Linked DNA regions of Arabidopsis thaliana. The protein of the gene in region 2 interacts with the protein of the main gene of each other region in a biochemical or structural test. Each region holds a gene or a part of one and is shown on either strand. Other genes may lie near its edges.

Region 1 (7,785 bases), on a different chromosome or scaffold from region 2:
GTGTTCGTAATACTGTAAGAATATGTGAGATTTTCTAGTTTAAGATTGGAAATATCTAAGTGTTGGGTGAAAATCACAAGAGGAATTATTGTATTAGATTGTGATAATAAGTGGAATTATTAATTTGCATTTGACATGATATATGGATATAAATTGTAAGACGACAGATTTTTTAAAAAGTTATTCTAATCAAACAAGTCACCTTCAATAACAATTGATTAGAACATACCGCGTCATATAGTAAAAAACCTTTAAATCATATGTTAACATTCTCTTCTTCTATAAAGTAACATCAAATAGTTACTACAATGAGATATACAACAATCAAGTATGGTATTTAGGGTTTAACGTAAGATTTGAGAGATATGATTTATGCAATGACATCCAAATTTGATAGATATTGAGAAGATATAGAAAAAGCCAATAAAATATTGATAGTGGCTAAAATATTTGATCATTTTCATATAATGATATTTGCATTGTTTAGCTTTAAACTTATACGTGGATAAGGTAATCTAAAGTGTGAGAAATAATAATTTGCTGATAAATATTTTGTAGAGATAATTTGAGTATAGTGTTTGATAGACCAGTTTAAGTCTACAATCTTCTTTCTGTAAATGAGTTGGAAACATATCAAAAAGACGAGTCAGATATACTCAACCATGTTTTAAGGTAGTAAAAATAAATAGATCAAAATATTCAACCATGTTTCCAATGGCAGGAGAAGTTCTTGCAATACCAATATCTTTGGCTATATATGAGTCTGTTTTTTTAACCATTAGTGATTGTAATTTAAATCAATATAAAAGCTATTTGGTTTGTGGTGTTGTTAAACCGGGTGAAGCACTCTCTCAACTCTTTATACATATTTTTTCTTTTTGTTGACTAATAAATTTAACATTTTAACACACAAAAAAATGCTTTTGACTTAAAATTGGTTACATGCATTATTAGGTTCAGAAAAAATGAGGTATTTAAGATTTATATTCAGCAATGGTTCATATATATGCTCTCATGTCTGATTTTTTCTTTTAAATATATTTATGTTAGAAAATGATCTGCAACACATCAGACTAAAAAACTGAATTATTTTTTTTATATATTTTCTAATATTAATAGAAAACGGTTTATTAAACAAATGAATATGCAAATACTCTAAACCGTGAGAATTCCTTGTGGAGTTTCATTTGTATATAATATTTATTTTCTTTGCTTTATAACTTTAAAATACCATCATGATTATTATAGTTCAGCTTCTATGTAATGAAACCATGTAGACAATAAAATAAAGAAAATAAGAAGCAGTTTTTATTATCTAAAAAGCGTAGACAAAAATAATTAAGAAAACTTGAACAAAAGAAAAAAGATAGAAAGTTGAGACGAAAAAGAATATATAAGGGGAATGGGAAAAAAAAATCATCTAAGCAAGGGATGAAGATCAAACTCGAGTTGTTTAATCTCATACATAAATCCGCTTTCAAATTAATTTTATGTTGTCGTTCCATAATTATATTTTTTCTTAAAAATAGTCTTGTTTTCCATTCTCTCTCTCAAACCAAATTTACACATTTAAATAAACTTTAAACAGAAAAACCACTATTAATGTAGTAATATATTAAATATTGATATATTTCTATATCAAATTTAAAACTAAAACCAAAAAAAGAAAGAAAAATTTCTATATCAAATTTAGAACTAAAAACAAATAAAAATAGTGTCATTTCCATTATGTTCTTTTAAACCAAACTTTACATTCTAAGAAAAAACACTATTGATGTGTATATTAAACTTTTGATATCTTTCTAAATCAAACTTTTCTTAAGGTATTTAAAAGTGATAGTATTCTGAATGGAAAAATAACAATTTAACACTAAAACCAATAAAATAAAGAGAAAAATGTTTGTGGCTAACAAAAAAAAAAAATCCAGATTGTGATTACAAAAAAAAAACATTTCTAGGGCATGTCATTGACTTCCTTTGAAGAAGAAGAAGAAGAGAGAGAGAGACTGAAAAAGAAAAAGTAAGAAAGGGAATGAAATAAATCCGATCGAATACAATTTTGACGTCCGCAAGGACACTATTCTCTCTCTTCTCATCTTCTTCTTTCTCTCTTCTCTCTCTCTCTCTACAGCGAAGAACAGGACACAAATTACTCTGTGAAGCTTAAAAAGGTATAATTTTTAATAAAACCCAGAAACTACAATTTCTAGGCGGCAGAGAAAATTTGTTTCTACTTCTTTTTGTTTCTCTTTGTCTTCTCGTCTCTTTATCCCCAAACCCATCAATAAAAAACCCTAAAAGACTTCAAATTTCTTCAAGATTTTGTTCATCGGAAGTTTTCAGATTTTTAGTTGTGTAAAGTCTCTTCCTTTTTGTTCGATTCTCTTTGTTTTGAGTCTTATCAGAGACTTATTCTTCAATTCCACCTCTGGGTAAGTTTCTATAGATTCTCACTAGTAATCTCTGTTTTTTTTCTCAATTAGGGTTTGATCAAAGTTTCGTTTTTTTCTTTCTGGGTTTGTTCTTAACATTATGCTTTTGTTTTGTTAAGGTGGTGAGAGTTGGAAATGGAGTAGATTTGCTTAATTTAGATCTGTAAGTAATCAACAGACAGTGTTGTTTGGTTCTAGAATGTTCGATACGGAATCTCATCACTCAGATTCATCTCTTTCCGTGGTGTTTACGACTCTGAAGCTTATCATTGCTCAGAAAGAATACGTCTTTGCTCCTACACAGAGCTGAGTTTTATAAAGTCGTCAGTTTTGTTTCTTGCTTTCTTTGTTGATTGTGGAGTTGTGAATTAGTAAGAGTATGGTACCATCAGAGCCGCCTAATCCTGTTGGGGGTGGTGAAAATGTTCCGCCTTCGATATTAGGAGGACAAGGAGGAGCTCCTCTTCCTTCTCAACCAGCATTTCCTTCACTTGTCTCTCCGCGTACTCAGTTTGGTAACAATATGAGTATGAGTATGCTTGGGAATGCTCCAAATATATCTTCTCTTCTCAATAATCAGTCTTTTGTAAATGGTATCCCTGGTTCTATGATTTCTATGGATACAAGTGGTGCTGAGTCTGACCCGATGTCTAACGTCGGGTTTAGTGGTTTGTCGTCTTTTAATGCGTCGAGTATGGTGTCTCCGCGCTCATCAGGTCAAGTTCAGGGTCAGCAGTTTTCGAATGTTTCGGCTAACCAGTTGTTGGCTGAGCAACAACGGAATAAGAAAATGGAGACGCAGAGTTTTCAACATGGTCAGCAGCAGTCAATGCAGCAGCAGTTTTCGACAGTGCGTGGTGGTGGATTAGCAGGTGTGGGACCTGTTAAGATGGAGCCTGGTCAGGTTTCGAATGATCAGCAGCATGGTCAAGTACAACAGCAGCAACAGAAAATGTTGAGAAACCTAGGGTCAGTTAAGTTGGAACCGCAGCAAATTCAGGCCATGAGAAATTTGGCCCAAGTGAAAATGGAACCTCAACATTCTGAGCAGTCATTGTTTCTCCAACAACAGCAGAGGCAACAACAGCAACAACAACAACAACAATTTCTTCAAATGCCGGGGCAATCTCCGCAGGCTCAAATGAACATATTTCAGCAGCAGAGACTTATGCAACTTCAACAACAGCAACTCTTGAAATCTATGCCTCAACAGCGTCCTCAATTACCACAGCAGTTCCAACAGCAGAATTTACCTCTAAGGCCACCTCTGAAACCAGTGTATGAACCTGGCATGGGTGCTCAGCGTCTTACACAGTATATGTACAGACAACAACATAGGCCTGAAGTAAAGCTTCTTACCATAAATTTAACTTCTTTCAGCCTATGGCTTTTCTTCATAATTGACATTTGTGCTTGCTATTAAATGCAGGACAATAATATCGAGTTCTGGAGAAAATTTGTAGCTGAGTACTTTGCTCCTAATGCCAAAAAGAGATGGTGCGTCTCTATGTATGGCAGTGGCAGGCAAACAACAGGCGTTTTCCCTCAGGTTGGTTTACTGCTCAATGAACTTATCTTGTTTGTAATACAATTGTAAAGGAGCTTGTCTTTTGCACCTGAGCCAGTTATTCTGGATAAATTACGTACTTGTTTCATGTTATACCTCTTTACATGAGTATTTTTATTCCACAAACATTGCAGGATGTGTGGCACTGTGAGATATGTAACCGAAAGCCTGGACGTGGTTTTGGTATGTTATTTAGATGATCAGTGCAGACAATTTCCTGTACATCTTATCAAATATTCCTTCCTTACTGCTTTGTCTCTTTCATTGTTTAGAGGCAACCGCCGAAGTCCTTCCGCGGCTGTTTAAGATTAAGTATGAGAGTGGGACGTTAGAAGAACTGTTATATGTAGATATGCCAAGGGAGTCCCAGAATTCATCTGGCCAAATTGTCCTGGAGTATGCAAAAGCAACACAAGAGAGTGTCTTTGAGCATCTTCGGGTTGTTCGTGATGGCCAACTTCGAATAGTCTTCTCGCCAGATCTTAAGGTTCTTCAAGCTACTCTATCTTTCGCAGCAAATTATTATACTATTACTTTCTCTCCAAGCCCTTTATTCTTGTAAGTTCCTTCTCAGATATTCTCCTGGGAATTTTGTGCTCGGCGGCATGAAGAGCTTATTCCACGAAGACTTTTGATACCGCAGGTAACTTCCAGAAAGATTCACCATATTGCTCTGACATATAGTTATTTTGGAGATGCGGCCTTTCCTTTTGTCACAAAATTGGATATGCTGTCTTAATATTATTCTAGTCTGCTTTTCTTTGCGAAATCGTCACTTTACCTTTCATCTTTTGTGGTTTCCAAATTTCAATAGGAGTAGAATATTACACATCTAAATCAGTGAAAACAGCTTAGGTAAATTAGCTATTTTTGTATTCACATACAGGTTAGTCAGCTTGGATCGGCAGCTCAGAAATATCAACAAGCTGCTCAAAATGCAACAACAGATTCTGCTCTTCCGGAGCTACAAAATAATTGCAATATGTAAACTTCCTCTCTTTCGCTGTGAAATTGATGTAACAAATCCTGTTATTCGACTTTTGATTGGTGATCTCTGATGTGCTGCAACTGGTCTGCAGGTTTGTTGCATCTGCTAGACAATTGGCAAAGGCCCTGGAAGTACCACTTGTGAATGATTTGGGATACACAAAGAGATATGTTCGGTGTTTGCAGGTAAATAACTAATGTCTCAATATGGATCAAGTGAACTCTACAATCTTGCTTAAAACTTAAGATTCTTGCCATCAATGAAAATGCAGCTTTGAAAAGGATAATACATAAAAATGAAATAAACTTAATCAATCTTTGTATTTAGTCTGTCCCTGTGACCATGTTTGCCAATGCACATTGATATTTTGCAATATTGTAGATCTCAGAGGTGGTAAATAGTATGAAGGACCTGATAGATTATAGCAGAGAAACACGAACAGGACCAATCGGTAAGTTTATGTGACCACCTTTTAATGCATTTGGTATTTTTAATCTTGAAGCACCTACTCTTTTCGTTCATGTATTATATCAGAACTTCATTGTACATATTCTCCGGTGATTTGACTGATGTCATGTTTTCTTTCTTTGGTACAGAGAGTTTAGCCAAGTTTCCTCGGAGAACAGGCCCTTCATCTGCACTGCCTGGTCCTTCTCCTCAGCAAGCCAGCGACCAGCTTAGGCAGCAGCAGCAACAACAACAGCAGCAGCAGCAACAGCAACAACAACAACAACAACAACAGCAGCAGCAGCAAACAGTTTCCCAGAATACAAACAGTGATCAAAGTAGTAGGCAAGTTGCACTAATGCAGGGTAATCCAAGCAATGGTGTAAATTATGCCTTTAATGCAGCCTCTGCATCCACTTCCACCAGCAGCATCGCAGGGCTCATCCACCAGAATTCAATGAAGGGAAGACATCAGAATGCTGCTTACAATCCTCCAAACAGCCCCTATGGAGGAAACTCTGTTCAGATGCAATCACCTAGTTCCTCGGGTACCATGGTGCCATCATCATCGCAGCAACAACACAACCTGCCAACATTTCAGTCTCCAACATCCTCATCTAATAACAATAATCCCTCTCAAAACGGGATACCATCTGTTAATCACATGGGTTCCACAAACTCACCAGCAATGCAACAGGCAGGTGAGGTTGATGGAAACGAGTCTAGCTCGGTGCAGAAGATACTGAATGAAATCCTGATGAACAACCAAGCTCATAATAATAGCTCAGGAGGAAGCATGGTTGGGCATGGGTCTTTCGGGAATGATGGGAAGGGTCAAGCTAATGTAAATAGTTCTGGTGTTTTACTGATGAATGGCCAAGTGAACAACAACAACAACACAAATATTGGAGGTGCTGGTGGGTTTGGTGGTGGGATTGGTCAATCCATGGCAGCAAACGGAATCAATAATATAAACGGTAACAATAGTCTCATGAACGGAAGAGTTGGGATGATGGTGCGGGATCCAAACGGTCAACAGGATTTAGGAAACCAACTTTTAGGAGCAGTGAATGGTTTCAACAATTTTGATTGGAACGCGTGAAATGAAGAAGAGGAAGAAGAGACACTGAAAGGGTAATGTTCTGCTTGCGCAGCATCACACATCTTCAAACTCAGGATAAGGATAGGCCAATAAGCCGTGATATTGTGCTTAAGAAAGGAAGAGTCAAATCTTTGTATCAATAACTGGTTTCTAGGTCACCTCCACAATCACCAATACCATCTCTTGAGTTACTGTTTCTTTTTTTACTTTGGGGAGTTTTTCTTATGCTTTATAGTTTATAATGTACATCTTTCTATCGGTGTGTGTTCCTTAGGGCACATCATCAGGGAGGCAATGAATCAAGCTCTATCCTTCATTTATCTCTCTGGTCTCTTCCATGTGTTAACCAAACTTCCCTAAATTCTGACCACAACGTTAAATATGTGCAATGCTCTTGAACGATGCTGATCGGTCATGATTTTTTGTTGTTAGTGCAATGAAATACCACAAGCCGTACGATGTCTATTGTTTGGTCACAGTTATTAATCAAATACCAAATATCCAAGCTTGTCTCTTAAACACAAGTTTTTACTCTTAAAGTTTGCGCAAAATTTCATTCCACAAGTTTTGTGTATTCATACTCACATATGACTACGAGATTTAACACATTGACAAAATTAAAAGCACAAAAGGAGAAAATTGTAGTTTCAGAAAGAGTAGTCTTTCAAATCTGCTCTAGAGTCGTCCATGTCAATCTCAGACATGCATTCGTCAGCACTAATAGGAGGGAGTTTCCGAGTCTTACGCTTAAGGTTGTGTTTGTGCCAATCACTCTTACAGTGCTCTCTGTATTGCTTAGCCTCTCCAACGAACGTGTTGCAAGTGCTGCACTTGGTCCCCTTCTTTTCTTCTCCACCTTCTTGCTTTATGTTATCTGTAGTACTTATCTCTTGCTTCTGCAGTTTCTTGCTAAGTTCAACGACGGGATCGGTCAAATCCTTAGTCTCAGTCTCAGCAGGTAACAACGGCTTGTGGGTTTGCAATGCCATATCATCATGCTCATCGTAATGATCCATGCTTGTGTCACCTTCTGCATGAACTGATACAGCGAGTATTTCTAGTCTTCCCTGGATACTCCTCACATGGGAATCACACTCTCGGAATAGGCCCGGTTCCATCTCGCAGACCTACACAAGAAATGTATCACCATGATCAGAGAGGATTATAGAAAAGAAGAAGTTCAAAATGTTTGAAGATATAGATCATTACAGTGGACATCTGTGTTCCAGATTCGTCTTTGGAGACAACA
Region 2 (4,739 bases):
AGAGAGAGAGCTTTGCCTTCTAGTTTGAATTTCTATTTCTTCCGCTTCTTCTTCTTTTTTTTCTTTTGTTGGGTTCTGCTTAGGGTTTGTATTTCAGTTTCAGGGCTTGTTCGTTGGTTCTGAATAATCAATGTCTTTGCCCCTTTTCTAATGCTCCAAGTTCAGATAAGAAATAAAAACTAAATGAACCGTAAAACACAAAGGAGGCTAAGATGTCTATGAATTTCTCTGGCATATGTGCAATAAGGAAGAGCTTCAAGGAATCTTGAACTAAGAGAAGGCTTCAAAGGCTAGACCTCTTCAAGTTCCCCTGTCTTATTATTGACCGGACTATGAAGTTTCTAGGAAGGTTATATAGGCAAAAGTTTATTCCTAACTCTTAATTCATAATTCTGATTGCGATGATTTTTGGTTTGCTAGATAGTTTAGTAAAAGAGCCTTACCATCCAAACTTGTGATCAATATTGGTAACCGTGAACGTCTTCATTAGGGTGAATATTTGAATATCTTTGTTTTCGGGTTACACATAACAACCCGAAAAGTTGTTGCATTTGGCTCGGAATACATCTTGTATAAAAATTTGTCTTTACTTTTTAGTTTTGTAAATCAATAGTATGATTGGTAGTCTATTCGTTTTGTGGAAACAACTTCAATTTGTATTTCATCAGACAATATATATGCATTCAAGTAGAAAATCAAATCGAGTAAATTTGTAGCATAATTAAGTAGAGTGGTCAATATAATAATACGATACATGATAAAAGTCTTGAAAACATTCCACACACAATAAGCCTAAGCACTACTGATCACACAATCCATATTTCTTTAGGCTTTAAAATACATAACTAAGAAACATGACAGTTTAAGGTTTTAGCAACACCATGCCTTATGTTTTAAGTAGTTACTAAATAATTAGATAGACAATGATGGCACCAGCAAACCTTTTAGCCTTTAATTATTCAAGAAGATGGAAGGTAATGATGTCAGAGGCAGAGGGTGCATGAAGGCCATGGTTGGGGTAATAGTGGTGATGGTTCTGGTGGAAACGAAGAGCGTAAGCACGTGACCCTTCGATTTGGTATCCAAGAACTGAGTCGTAATCTCCTCCATTGTCTACTAGTCCATAGTGAGGATCTTCAGCTCTTAGTTCCTAATTCACCAAAACATGTTTTAAGCCATATTCCACATAACTAAAACCAATATTATTAATTCGAAATGACATGACATTTGATATATGATTTAACTAGGAGATATTTCGATAAGAGAATCACAAGAAAACATAAGAGTGACTGATCAATCTACACTACATTTCTAGATATCTTTTTAACTGGCTCCGTATTCCATGAATGTATTATGCCTAAACCAACATTTGAGAAAAACAGAAAGAGATATTACCAGCTCATGTATGAGATTCTTTTGTATGTCTTGTTGACTTTTGTTCTGCAATTGTGTAAACCACAAGAGAAATGATGAAGAAATATTCCCTCCCAAAAAAATTATGAAGATATATACCCAAGTTATTATGACATCACTATATAGTATACTTGGTATTTTCTTTATCCATTAGCTTAAACACACACACACACACACAAATATAATTGTCCAAGAAAAGTGTTATCAACAGTTTTAGTAAGTTGATAAATTCAATTGACACAAAATTGTTGAGACAAATAAATATGATAAAATGGAAAAGTGAGTGGACATAGAAGATGTGACCTTTTTCTTGGTGGTCTCGATCTGATTCCCAAGAGATTTGAACTGTACAGTACAATACAATTAACATATATTATCCAACAGTAAACAAAATGTTTCTTTTTCTAAAACATATATACAACAATAAAATTCATTTTTTAATAATTCAATTCAAAACTGAAGCTTGGGTATATAGGATTAATTGAAACCCTAGGTAAGGGAAAAGTATGAAGAGAACCTTGCGCTCGCGAACGAGTTTGAAAGTGTTTTCCATTTCATCCTCAAGACGACGCAGCTCCTGAATGTCAAGCTCGTCCAAACACTCACCTAGCCTCTGCCTACAATTTTAAAAATATGTATATTTTCGTACTCATTTTTTTTAGTAAAACTCCTCATCTAAGAGAAGAGAGAGAAACAAATACTTGATCTGAGTCCGGAGATTTCTATTTGTCTCCAACAGTTTCCTCTTGGTTTCTTGCATTCGCTGCAGCAAAACGCATCAAGAATTTAACCAACCAGCGAAACACATATCAAGAAGAAGAAGAAAGATCTAAGAAGGAAAAAAACCTCATATTGAGTGGCCCAAACATCGACATCAGAAATAGTTTGGTACAGATCTACGATCTCCTTCGTTCTATAACCAACAAAATCACCAAAAAAGTAGTGGTTAATTATAAGAAAACAAAGCAACTCAATTAGCTTAATTTAAGAGTGGTGTTTAGAGAGATGGTGTACGTGGTGTTAGGGCTGATATACTCATGAAGCTTGTTGGAGCTAGAGAACATGATAATCGAAACCCTAGCATCACACAAAACCGTGAGCTCATGTGCTTTCTTGAATAAACCATTTCTTCTCTTTGAATACGTCACTTGTCTGTTTGTCTGGTTCTCTATCCTCTTGATCTGGATCTTCCCTCTCGCCATATTCTTCTCTCTTTGTTTAATCTTTTTGTTGAAGAGATTTGGTGGAGAGGACAAGAGATATAATGAGAAGAAAGAAGTGAAATAGAAAGAGAGAGATGGAGTTGAAGAAGTAAAGGGTCCACTTGAGTTACTAAAAATGGAAAGTATTGCCTAATCCATGAAAGGTAAGTTCAGAAGTTGATGAAAACTAAGTGATAAATTTTCCATTTATGTAAACTGATTTTTTTAATTACAAGACACTGTTTAAATCAACGGACATCGATGGTTGTATAATTACAAGACACTGCTTAAATCAATTGTCACTTGGTAAAAGAGGGGGACCAAAGCTAAAAACTTGGTTTGCTTTTCGTCAATTTATTAACGGAGCTCCGTTAGCTTCTACTTTGTTTTTGTTTAGACGGTGACAAACTTAACGGCGTTTGTAAACGTCAAATCAGTGCAGGTGGATTTGGTTGGCTTTTTACACTTACCCTAAAGTAAACAAAAGTGTTTAGGTGTGAACAAGTTTTTATATTGGTGTTAAAAGCCAATATTCTACTTTTGTCTGTTAATTTGGGAAATAAGAAGAAAGAGATATATATGTTTGGATTAATCGTCACTTCCATCTAACTCAAATCTTTTATATGTTTCCCCAAATGATTACAATAATTTCCCGGATTTGCCTTTAACTAAAGATCCTTGGAAAATAGAATATTACCCCTAGGGTTTAAGAAGGAATCACAAGTTAGGAGAAAAGTCTTTGTTTGTAGATAATGTTTGGTCCTAACTCCAAACAGTCCATCAAATCAGATATATGATGAAACTCTTTTTTCTTTTTGCTTCGACCAGTTAGTGTTGTTTCAAAACTAAGTTGGCCACAGTTACTGTTGTTTTGAAACTAACATGGATTGATCTTAGTTCATCATCAATTTTCAAGCAATGGAAATCAGTGAGTGAGTCACGAAAATGGAAACCTATCCTTTATACTGATAGGATATCCAAAGAACTTGTGTATCAACTTCACAAGAACAATCATTCTTCGCTTAAAACACAAATTCAGATACAAGAGACTTGTATTTTCATTTCAACGCCTTAAAACAGGGTCAACTATGCATGATGCGGAACTAAAGATGTATTAAAAGATCTACAAGACGTGTTCCTATGGCTAAGGTACATTACACAAGAGATGCATCATTCATCTACACAAACAACACGCACTCTTGATCTGGTCTCAGTTCACTTTCCCTCTTCTCTTCAGGTACTCTTGCATGCAACTTTGGTTTGTTTCAAATATAAAAGGCATTCCCCGTATCTGCGCGCACATATATCGGGTTTAAGTACGGACCTAGAAGCGTAAGTAATGATCATAAAAGAGTATCCCGGATCAAACCTCAACTAGACAATCGGATTTGAGGATTAAACTCTGTCCAGGATCTACTTCCTTCTCATTTACTGAGATTGAATACTTCCCCAGGTTTTTTATATGAAACGAACCGTCATCACCCAGCCGTATGATCGCCTGCATTCAGTAACCCAAAAAGGAAAAAAACATACACAACAACCATTACAGATCCTGGGCTGCTGCTTCTCATACAACTTAAAGACCTAAAATACAAATAGAAGTATCTACTATTGACCGACCTGTCGTCGAGATATTTTGCTACCCCGCTTTTCTCTTCCCAAATCAATGTCCACAGCGAGGTCTTCTGTTGATCTACCCACCAAAACCTATGTTAAGAAAAAAGAACCCCGATATCAACAAGTGCTACTATAATTCTTAAGAAGCTTATCAAATCATACAAGGAATATTAAACGAATAAGATAATATTACCTCAGGCTTCTTGATATAGTGTTTTGAATATCTGCCATATAAAACAGCGAATGCACCACGGGAAGCAATGGCTCTTTGCATATATGAATGAGCAGCCTGCTCAAGTCTTATGATTGTTCTTTTCATGTCTTGGCTCTGATACTTGGAGACTGCAAGTGAAAACATTTTAGGGATTTACAAACAAGCCTTAAACCTCTTCTAACATCTCATACGCTACCCATAGAAAAGGTTTCCCACATCACTGCAGCATGTAATAACTTTTAGGAGCCAAATGCCGAAATACATTCCTATTCACATACTAAAAGCTTTCTTTT

What was found.
Region 1: the proteins of AP3 (region 2) and SEU form a complex in vitro, tested with the Arabidopsis thaliana proteins (one study listed by BioGRID).

The regions. Positions count from the first base shown.
Region 1 is NC_003070.9:16,615,061-16,622,845, forward strand, and holds SEU (SEUSS transcriptional co-regulator), read left to right. Parts: upstream 1-1,927; 5' UTR 1,928-2,432; intron 2,433-2,551; 5' UTR 2,552-2,811; coding exon 2,812-3,777; intron 3,778-3,861; coding exon 3,862-3,981; intron 3,982-4,133; coding exon 4,134-4,182; intron 4,183-4,271; coding exon 4,272-4,486; intron 4,487-4,573; coding exon 4,574-4,642; intron 4,643-4,885; coding exon 4,886-4,983; intron 4,984-5,078; coding exon 5,079-5,172; intron 5,173-5,368; coding exon 5,369-5,438; intron 5,439-5,583; coding exon 5,584-6,536; 3' UTR 6,537-6,989; downstream 6,990-7,785. Other genes in the region: AT1G43860 (sequence-specific DNA binding transcription factor), read right to left, coding at 7,184-7,663, 7,746-7,785. UniProt on the Arabidopsis thaliana protein: DNA-binding adapter subunit of the SEU-LUG transcriptional corepressor of the C class floral homeotic gene AGAMOUS during the early stages of floral meristem development.
Region 2 is NC_003074.8:20,118,473-20,123,211, forward strand, and holds AP3 (K-box region and MADS-box transcription factor family protein), read right to left. Parts: upstream 2,843-4,739; 5' UTR 2,616-2,842; coding exon 2,428-2,615; intron 2,327-2,427; coding exon 2,260-2,326; intron 2,177-2,259; coding exon 2,115-2,176; intron 2,031-2,114; coding exon 1,931-2,030; intron 1,759-1,930; coding exon 1,717-1,758; intron 1,441-1,716; coding exon 1,396-1,440; intron 1,151-1,395; coding exon 956-1,150; 3' UTR 668-955; downstream 1-667. Other genes in the region: WRI1 (Integrase-type DNA-binding superfamily protein), read left to right, coding at 98-127; emb1967 (Forkhead-associated (FHA) domain-containing protein), read right to left, coding at 3,826-3,906, 3,985-4,113, 4,236-4,322, 4,426-4,574. UniProt on the Arabidopsis thaliana protein: Probable transcription factor involved in the genetic control of flower development. Is required for normal development of petals and stamens in the wild-type flower.